2 linked regions of the Caenorhabditis elegans genome follow. The protein of the gene in region 1 interacts with the protein of each later gene in a pairwise test. Each region holds a gene or a part of one and is shown on either strand. Other genes may lie near its edges.

Region 1 (5,355 bases):
ATTTCTAAACCCATCTAGTTTCAGATTCTCCTGTCCAAAGAATTCACGGAAACTTTCGAGTGCCAAGAAGTATTCCGTGATGGAAGCATCAACGGCCACATTGCACTCACCCGTACACACATTTACGTGCTTCATGATGTACCAGGAAAACAAGGATACGTCACAACTGAAGCCCGCCACGCTCTTTCCACTGTTGTCGCTGTGACAAGTCGCCGGAGTGTTCCTGAGATGCTCACCTTTAAGTTGGGCTACGAGATGAATGGGTCCTCAAAAATTACTGCTGTTCACAAGTAAGAATTTATATCAGTTTTTATTGAAAACCGTATATTGTTTCAGATTATATGTTCCAAAAGCTGGTGAATGTGCAAAAGCAGTCAAGCTGGCAATTTACGCTCTTCGTCCACTTCCCGATGCATAATTCTCCAAAAAATAAAAATAAAACTAACGATGCTTTCCTTTCATGTGATTATAATTATACGTCATAATTTTGCTGGGTTTTCACTTTTTGCAAAATGTTGTAAAAACTGGGTACTAGCTTTCCTCTTACTGTAAGTAGTCTCTCGGGAATACTTCATATTTGAAAAAAATCACTTTATTTTGCCTGTGGTATCAAAAATTTATTAGACATGATGTAGTGATAACGGAATAAATATTTATGAATGTGTATTTCAAAGTTTTTTGGTTGTTTGAAAACATATTATATATTTTAAAAATGTTCGATTTCAAATGTTATTTTTGTGAGGTGTTTTGATAATGTTACTATGCATGTGTTTTAAAAGTACAGTGTCAATACGAGTGTTTTGTTTTATATTGACTGTGGCAAAAACTAACAAGCTTGCAAGAGGACAAATTGCAAAAACATGCTAGTTCACTTTTTAAAAAAGATAGTCAACAAATGGTTAGATTTTTAGATAGCTTTTGAACTTTTCAAAGTCCTACTTTAGGTCCCACCTACTTAAAGTCCCACATAGCACAGTCAAATGCGTATCTACTACCAAAACTCGTGAAATGATTGTGCTTTCTGCACACTACTCTTAAATATTCAAGCTTCTAAAATTTTAAACTTTTTAAGTGTGTTCATCTTTGGCAATCCATCATTCTCTACAGAAAAAGGGTTAAATTTGAGAAACTGATAAATAAAATGCGTTTACATTTAAATTTTTACAAATATTTTTTGAAGGTATTATTTTCCAACACAAAGTCAGTACGTTTTATTCATGATTTTTCATTTATTCTACATTTAACATTCTTTCAATATGTTCACAACGCAGTGTATTTTATTGAAAGAAATAATGTTTTCCCTCTATTTCACTATAGTATTTTGCCAGTAAACCTTTTGAAATGAAATTTATACACGTTATTCAAGCCTTTCGAAATCAGATTATTATGAAACTTTCTAGACTTTTCTCCCCTAGCAAAATATCTCCTCCGTCCTCGCACCCTCCTCCATCTCCCGGCAAACAATGACATCATTTTTCTTTTTCCTCGGTAACCCGCAGTGATCATCTTTTGATCGAAAATCTCTCAGTTGGACAAAACTTTAGTGTTCTTTTTTCTGAAAAATAATTCCACGTTCCAATAATGTTTGTTTCACAGATGTCGTTCTATCAAGGTGTTTTGTTTTAAGCACAAGGCATTAAAGGGATCGATAGGCAACAATTGCAAGTGCGCTCTAATAATTGAGCGCGCACAACACATACACACACACACACACACACACAAACACAACAACATGCTGACTCATCGTGCCTTTTCCTATTTTTCTCTCGTCGTTTATTCTTCAGTTTTTCGGCGCACGTCGTCTGTTTTAGGTCGTGGCTGGCTGGCTGGCTGGGGGAACCAGTTTTTCGTCGAAAAGAGGGCTGTTTAGATTTTGAATTTAGTTTTTGACCATTATCATTCTGATTACGTCGGTTGACCCCTTTTGTCCGATGATTTCCTTGTCTTTGCTTTGTTATTTTCCAACTTTTTGATTTTCAACACGAACATTTTAATCTTCCAGAATGCAAGTAAACAGTGAGGACATCACTGTCGCCTGGGGACAAGCCCCACATCCTCTCGACTCTCAGTACGGAAAATGGCGCATGGCAGTGTTCCAAGATGTGCAGGAGTCAATTGATGGCTCAAAGCTCTACTTCCTCTACGATCCACAGGCCGACGAGCAAAGTGGAACAAGTGGACAGAGAAAAGGATACCCAGGATTGATCATCTTTGATACCAACTTCAAATGCTTTGCTGGAGAGATTCCTGTTCACAGTCCAGGTATTCTTTTTTTACCGTTTTGCAATACAAATGATTTTCAACTTTTTTTTCAGGAAAAATGAAGTTCCTCTTCGCTCTTAAATGCCCATCTCCACAAGGCGGCTCTGCTTTCGTTCTCGTCACGGAGGAAGAAGTCTACGGACAAATTCGTCTTAACGTTTCTCGAATCGATTTGGCCCAAGACGGACTTTCAATCGCCAATGTTCGGCCTTTAATTCCCCAGGCATTGACTATTGGTGGAGAGTACATCTGCTCAATGCGTGAAGATCTTCCAGAAATTGTGGTTATGGCGAATCCAGGGCTTCAGGTGAGAAATGAGTGCGGAGCCTGATTGCATATGCTTCTGGCAAGCACCTGGCTTGAATTTGATTTATCACCTTTGTTATGTATTCGAGGCAAAACAAGGAGGCGAAGACGAGTAGTTTATTACATTACTAATGAATAATAGTTTGAGAGTTCACGTTGTACGATCTTCTTAGCCACGTCGTGGGTCACTACACTTCGATATCTCAACGTCACCTGTTTCCGGGTAGTCTGCGCGTTTGACTGTTTATTCTTAATTATGAAGTGATTGCCAAATTAGGGCCACGCAGGTAGCTTCCGCCTCCTGTTTTGTAAACTTTGGTGGTCCGAACACTTAACGTTCCTGGTGGCCGAGTGGTTTGCGTAGATGGCTTATGTGCTCAAGGTCGCGGGTTCGATTCTTTTGTGTGCTTAAATCCTTTGTTATGTTATTATAAGTAAGCGATCTTCTAGATGGTTGTAAAACATCGAGTATTACAACCACTGGAATTTCTCTATTACCTTTTTGGATGGGCAAAGTTGTAGTACTTGACTATAGGAAATGATTATGCCTGTTAGGGAGGATGTCTTTTCAGCAGGACGTCCTCAGCGGCAGGACGAGGACTGAAGGAGGAACGAGGAGGAGAAGACGAGTAGTTTATTATATTAGTACTAAACTAATTGTAAGGAATAAATAAGTTAGTTAGAGAGCTCACGTTGTACGATTTTCTTAGCCACGTCGTGGGGAAATACACGTTGATACCCAACAACTTTCATTCGAATAGGCCAATCGTAATGGAAAGTTTAACTAAAATGCATATTTTCGCATTCATAATTGCATATGCAGCAACTTAAGATTTTTTTTTCAGATTTGGCGCATCAACTGCATGGCCGAATCGTCTCAGCCACCTGTCGCCCAGTTCACAGTCCCCGGCGCCGACTTGAACCATTTCTACGATGGATTCCTTAACAATGGCAACATCGTCTTTTTGTCTGCAACCCCTGATGGTCATTTCGACAACACTCGCGTTCATCTCCTCAATTTGAACAGTCCTCAACACGTTAGTCAATTTGGAGAGCCAACCAGTATACTATTAGATATTTCAGATAACATCGCAAAATTGCTCTGGAGATCCACAGCGTGGAATGCCGATCCCGAGAAAGCAGTGTGGATTTGATTCTGTTACTAGTGAGTTTTAATTGTAAATATCAGTTAACGACAAATAACAACTGAATTTTCTTGCAGATGCAATTCTGATGGCCGGAGGAGAGGTTGACCGTGGCAGCGGTTTCGAGCGTCTTTTGGATTACTGGGTTCTCAATACTCAAACATTCCAGTGGCTTCAGATTCCATCTCAGATGCCGTGCCCACTTATCGAGCCTCGCCTCACTGCGTGTCACTCTGGAAATATTTACGTCTGGGGAGACTTTGATCAACCGCTTCCAGGAATGCCACCAAACGGAACACATCTTCGCATCCTCCGTGTTTCTGGTCTTGAGAAAGCTAGTCATCCACCAGCGTATTCCACATACAACCCAGCGCCGCCAGCATACCCATCTCTGGATGAGAAGTCTGGAAATCCGCCGTATCCTTCTAACCCATCCAACCAACCATACCCATCCAACAATTACGGAAATCAAGGCATAGTAGCGTGTAATGTTCAAAATCATAAAATATTGTTTTCAGGTGGTCAAGGACAAGCTCCTCCATACCCATCATACAATCCAAATCAGAGCAACTATGGAAACGCGGGCAACCAACAAGGCCCATCTCAAGATCAATACGGAAACGCCGGATATGATGCGAACCAGCAAGGCGGCTACACTCAAACCTCTGATGGACAGAATGCCTACTATCCAACTCAGAAGAAGAAGAAGAGCTGCAGCATCCAGTAAAATGTTTTATGCACCCTGAACTATCTGATCCTGGCCAATTGTTGTATATGTATATTTTTAATGACCTTTTTGATATTTATCCGAAGCCCTAAAGCAGCCCATTTTGTGATCCCGTTTAATACTCTGTACGCTAAAGCATAAATAAAGACGATGTGCCAAGAAGTGTTTATATTTCAATTTTTTAGTAGCGGCTAATTTTCACGCAAAAAAAATACCTTTGTTCACATTTTTCAAAATATTTTGGAACCCGTGTCGCTTGGCACTGCCTGCTCTCATTCTTTCACAGCTCTAAACGTCAATAGATACGCCATTTGTTATGAGAGAACGCAGAGAAAACGAAATAGGCGAAATAACGGGTTACATGCAAGAAGAGAAGAGCGCCCTGTTTAAACCGATGTCATTTTACTCATCAGTTTTGTTGGTTTTTTTCTAATGATTTTTTTTGAAGTTTGCTTTTATTGATAAATTGAATCAAAGTTCGACTTTTCTTAAAAGAATTAAAAAAAAACTGCTACTGCATTTATTTCATAGAAATGAAAAATCAATAAGAAAGAACCAGGAAGTAAATACATATAGGAATTGGTTTTTCCTTTTCCTTCACAATGAAATCTCTTTATATCTCACTATTTCGTTTATGTTACTGACTATGACAATGAATCAAGCAAAAGTAGAAAAAAACGAAACAACTGCAAATTGATAAGGAATTTAACGGTGAAACTTGAGAAATCACGAGAAAGATTTAATAGTTTCGAAATTTGATTGAACTTTTTATTGAATTTTCCGGTTAAAAGGTTAACTCTACTTTAAAGCTCAGTTAATATTCAATTTTTTTTTGGCTTTAGGCTGTTGAATATAAAGTTTGAAATTTATTACTGAAAACTATAAAAATGGGCAATCAACTTTTTAGAAACTTTT
Region 2 (4,196 bases), on another chromosome or scaffold:
CATGAAACCCCTGTTCCAGATTCCAGCATAGTTTTAAAAATGCTATCGAGTTTCATTAATGTATCTTTTGAAGTTTTGAAAATAGTTCCGCCAACGTCTAGTTTAACAGTTTCACTCATTTTTGAAAAGTTTTTGAGAGGAAAAAGAGAGAAAAACGGAGTGAAATTGTGTTATCAGTGAGCCGATCGATTTTGAATTATCAGTGTTGCGAAATTTTGTTTTTTTTTTTACAAAAAAATCAAAAATGTTAAGAAATAAAAAAAAACTTCTGAATTGAAAATATTGTCAAAAAATCCACAAAATGAGTTAATTATCTCTTTCTCTGCTTCTCCAAATACAAATATTGACCAAACTCCCCAATCATTTTTTCTAATTTTTCCAAAAAAGTTGCATCCCGAATTATCCGTCCGCCTCGATTAATTCGAAGATTGTGCGGAAATTGACTATAATATCCATTCTCGGTAGATTTCCACTTTATCCTAGCTTTCCATTTTCGAGAAGGTTCGTCTTCACTCAATCGCTCTTAATCGATTACGGTAATCAGACCCTTTCACATTCAAACATAGTTTTGAATAATCCATCACATTTTATTAATGTCGGTCTTGAAGTTTTAAAAATAGTTCCGCCGATGTCTAGTTTAACAACCTTGTTCATATTTTAAAATAGTTACGGTTTGAGGCACAGATGCAACCAAACTCAAAAAATAAAAATAAGAATGTTTGTTATCAATCAGACTTTGAACTTATCCATGTGTTTTGTGTTTAAAGATAAAAAAACAAGCTTACTAAATTATAATTTTTTAAGCTTCTAAATTAGAAATATTGTCGAAAAATCCATAAAATAAGTTAATTATCTATTCCTCTGCTTCTTCAAATACTCATCAAACTCCCCGATCATTTTTTCCAATCGTTCCAAAAATGTTGCATCCCGTATTATCCGTCCACCTCGATTAATTCGAAGATTGTGTGGAAATTGACTGTAATATCCATTCTCAGTAGGTTTCCATTTTATCCTTGCTTTCCATTTGCGAGAAGGTTCGTCTTCACTCAATCGCTCTGAATTGACTATTTTATGAGGATAATGTACAAAAAACTTACGAAAATAAATATCGAACTGATGTGAATACTTTTCCATGAACTCGTAAAGATTAAAGTTATAGGGAATCGACATATCATTCCCAACCATGCAAAATTCAATTATGAGCATTGGCTGTAAAAATTATATGTAGAGCTGAAATTTTTTGAAGAAACTGGTTAATTATTTTATGATTGACAAACGCCATACAGTGTGGCCTTACTATTAGGACTACAGCTTGCACTGGCCTATAGTTTAAGCCACGTCCTAGCCAGGGACTGTGGCCGATAATACAGTCATGGATTGCTCCACTCTCCAATACAGACTGGGTGAACCTAGGGGATGAGTCTAAACTTGAAACCGCAACCTCTAGCTTTCTAGCAGCTACCACTACCGACTGAGATATTCCTATGAATTTGAAAAACTACATTATTTTATCGAAACTCACCTTCTGTTGAACAGCAAGAATTTGAAGAAATTGTTCATCGCTTTCAATAAATCGAAGTTTTATCTTTGGAGCTTCAACAAGCTCAATCTTTGAATTGCACAACTCAATGAGTCCGTCGAGCAAATAGAATTGAGCTTCTACTAGCAGCTCCTTCAGTTTCAATTCACAATTGGGTAGAACCACGTCGCCGTCTCGCATAAAGTTCAGTATCAAGTCGAAATTTTTCGGAGACCGATCAATAAAAATACTCCCAGATTCGTCAATTTTTAGCTGAAAATTTGAAAATTTATCGGGAAATTTTTGGAAAAATCGGACCCCAATGTCACTCTCCAACATAGTTTTGAAAAATCCATTGAACTTTGTTAATGTAGATCTTGAAGTTTTGAATATAGTTCCACCAACGTCCAATTTCACAGTTTCACTCATTTTCGAAGAGTTTTCTAGGGGAGAAAAAGAGAAAGATGGAGTAAAATTTTGTTATCAGTTATAAGATTATCGATCAGTACATATTTCAAAATGATTTTTTTTAACAAAAATTAAAATTTCCAACAACTAAAAAAGATAACATTTATTTCTTTTTTCAACAATAAAATAGCCTTTTAGTGCAGGCATGTAATACACAAACACTAAAACCAAAAAAATTATTGAAAAAACAAAAAACCATGATAAATCATATTTTTTAGTGTTTGCTCTTTGATCAATTTGGACCTTTTTTGTAGAATTAAGTTTATCACAGCACATTAAGACTAGACCATCCAACCAGTAGAATTGAGCTTCTGCCATCAATTCTCTCAGCTCTCTTTCATCTTCTGGCAGTGGCAGATCACCATCTCTCATTAAATTCAGAATCAATTCAAAGTGTTTCGGGGACCGATCTATGAAAATGCATCCGGTTTTTTCAATTTTCGGCTGGAAATTTTCACGTTTTTTTTTGGAAAAAAACAACGATTTTCATACCCCAGTTTTGCATTCCAACATAGTTTTGAAAAAGCTATGGAACTTTGTTAATGTATCTTTTGAAGTTTTGAATATAGTTCCGCCAACGTCTAGTTTAATAATTTCACTCATTTTTGGAGAGTTTTTGAAAAAAATTGTAGAGGAGAAAAAGAGGAAAGTGAAATGAAGGTTTGTTATCAGTGAGTCGATCGATTTGAAGTTATCAGTGTTTTCAATTGATTTTTTTCCATACTATAATAGGTTTACGTTCGGGTCTGTTCACATTTCTATGATAGCATAATACAATGAAAATTGCGTTTAATAGCCACTAAAATAGGTAGCATTTACTAGATTTTTCAACAATAAAATAGCTTTTTAGTGCAGGGATGTAATACACAAATACCAAAAAAATTAATGAAAAAACAAAAAAACGAGTATAACTATTATTTTTAGTTATTGGTTTTTGATTTTGAATCATTCGGAAGTTTATTATAGTGCTAAGTTTCACACCGCACTTATTGTACAGTCCAAACATCTGATAGTAATTTGCTTCCGCACACAACTCTCTCAATTCCTTCTCAGTTTCGGGCAACCACAGATTCCCATCTCTCATTAAGTTCAGAATTAACTCGAAGTGTTTCGGGGAACGATCAATAAAAATGCATCCGGATTTTTCGAGTTTCGGCTGAAAATGTTCAGGTTTTTGGAGAAATATAGTCAGCAACATTATACCGCAATATCACTTTCAAACATAGTTTTAAAAAAGCTATCGAGTTTCGTTAATGTATCTTTTGAAGTTTTGAATATAGTTCCACCAACGTCTAGTTTAATAATTTCGCACATTTTTTGGAGAGTTTTTAAAAAAATTGTGGGGAAGAGAAATGAAGAAAGTGAGATGAAGTTTTGTTATCAGTAAGTCTATCGATTTGCAATTAACAGCCATTTTTATATTTTTAACAAATTTTAGGAAATAGTGGCGGTGGAGTTTTTTTCAAGACATGTATAGAAAACTTTCCGATTTCCGCTTTTGCAAATTGTGCAAAATTTCTGAAGGAATTTTTATAAGAAAAAACGGATGACACATATTTTTGACATTTTTTCTCGTTTTCAGCAAGAATTCTAATATATTTTTTCTCATTTTTCATGTAAGATACGTGTAATTTTGCAGTTACAACTGAAATTTCAAAATTTCCAATAAAAAATGCAATACCTCAGTCGAAATTTTTCGGCAATTGAAGTTTTTGGCAGCTTCACAAAAAATTGAAAAATTTCCCATATTTTTTGAAACCAGCAGTTTCCGAAGATTCCAATTGCCAAAAATTTTCAAAACACTACAGTTTAAAATTGGGGTTATAACTTCATTTTTTTTTGTTTTTATAATCATACAGTGTGGGAAAGTTCTATAGGACCCCCCCTAATTTGAAGGTTTGAGGAACTTCCGAAAATTTTTTCGAAAAACTGCTAATGCCGTTCGTTTTTAAATTGAAAAAAACCTATATAAATTTTTTTCCAGAAGTTTATCTCAAAAACTGAGGTCGCGCTGGAAAAAACGTCAAAATCCAGTGTGAAACTTCTATAGGACCCCCCGTTTTTTTTCACGATTTTTACTAAAATCAACAGATTTTGGAATTTTTGACAAAGCTCAAATCAAGTTTGAGTTAGAAATGAGTTCATATAAGCAGTTTTGACTTTAAAAAATTAATACGAAATGTTCTCGTGGGATCTCCAGACTGGTTCT

What was found.
Region 2: the proteins of F20D1.3 (region 1) and ZC239.15 interact in a two-hybrid assay, tested with the Caenorhabditis elegans proteins (one large-scale study listed by BioGRID).

Annotation. Positions count from the first base shown.
Region 1 is NC_003284.9:14,974,115-14,979,469, forward strand, and holds F20D1.3 (Protein Skeletor), read left to right. Parts: upstream 1-2,002; 5' UTR 2,003-2,003; coding exon 2,004-2,262; intron 2,263-2,315; coding exon 2,316-2,569; intron 2,570-3,004; exon of another isoform or gene 3,005-3,064; intron 3,065-3,413; coding exon 3,414-3,605; intron 3,606-3,651; coding exon 3,652-3,733; intron 3,734-3,790; coding exon 3,791-4,186; intron 4,187-4,231; coding exon 4,232-4,440; 3' UTR 4,441-4,599; downstream 4,600-5,355. Other genes in the region: tbc-1 (TBC1 domain family member 23), read left to right, coding at 25-290, 337-418.
Region 2 is NC_003280.10:3,222,696-3,226,891, forward strand, and holds ZC239.15 (BTB domain-containing protein), read right to left. Parts: upstream 2,037-4,196; 5' UTR 1,949-2,036; coding exon 1,838-1,948; intron 1,793-1,837; coding exon 1,523-1,792; intron 1,210-1,522; coding exon 1,098-1,209; intron 1,056-1,097; coding exon 850-1,055; 3' UTR 638-849; downstream 1-637. Other genes in the region: ZC239.13 (BTB domain-containing protein), read right to left, coding at 9-119; ZC239.16 (BTB domain-containing protein), read right to left, coding at 2,075-2,431, 2,480-2,590; ZC239.17 (Potassium channel tetramerization-type BTB domain-containing protein), read right to left, coding at 2,787-3,185.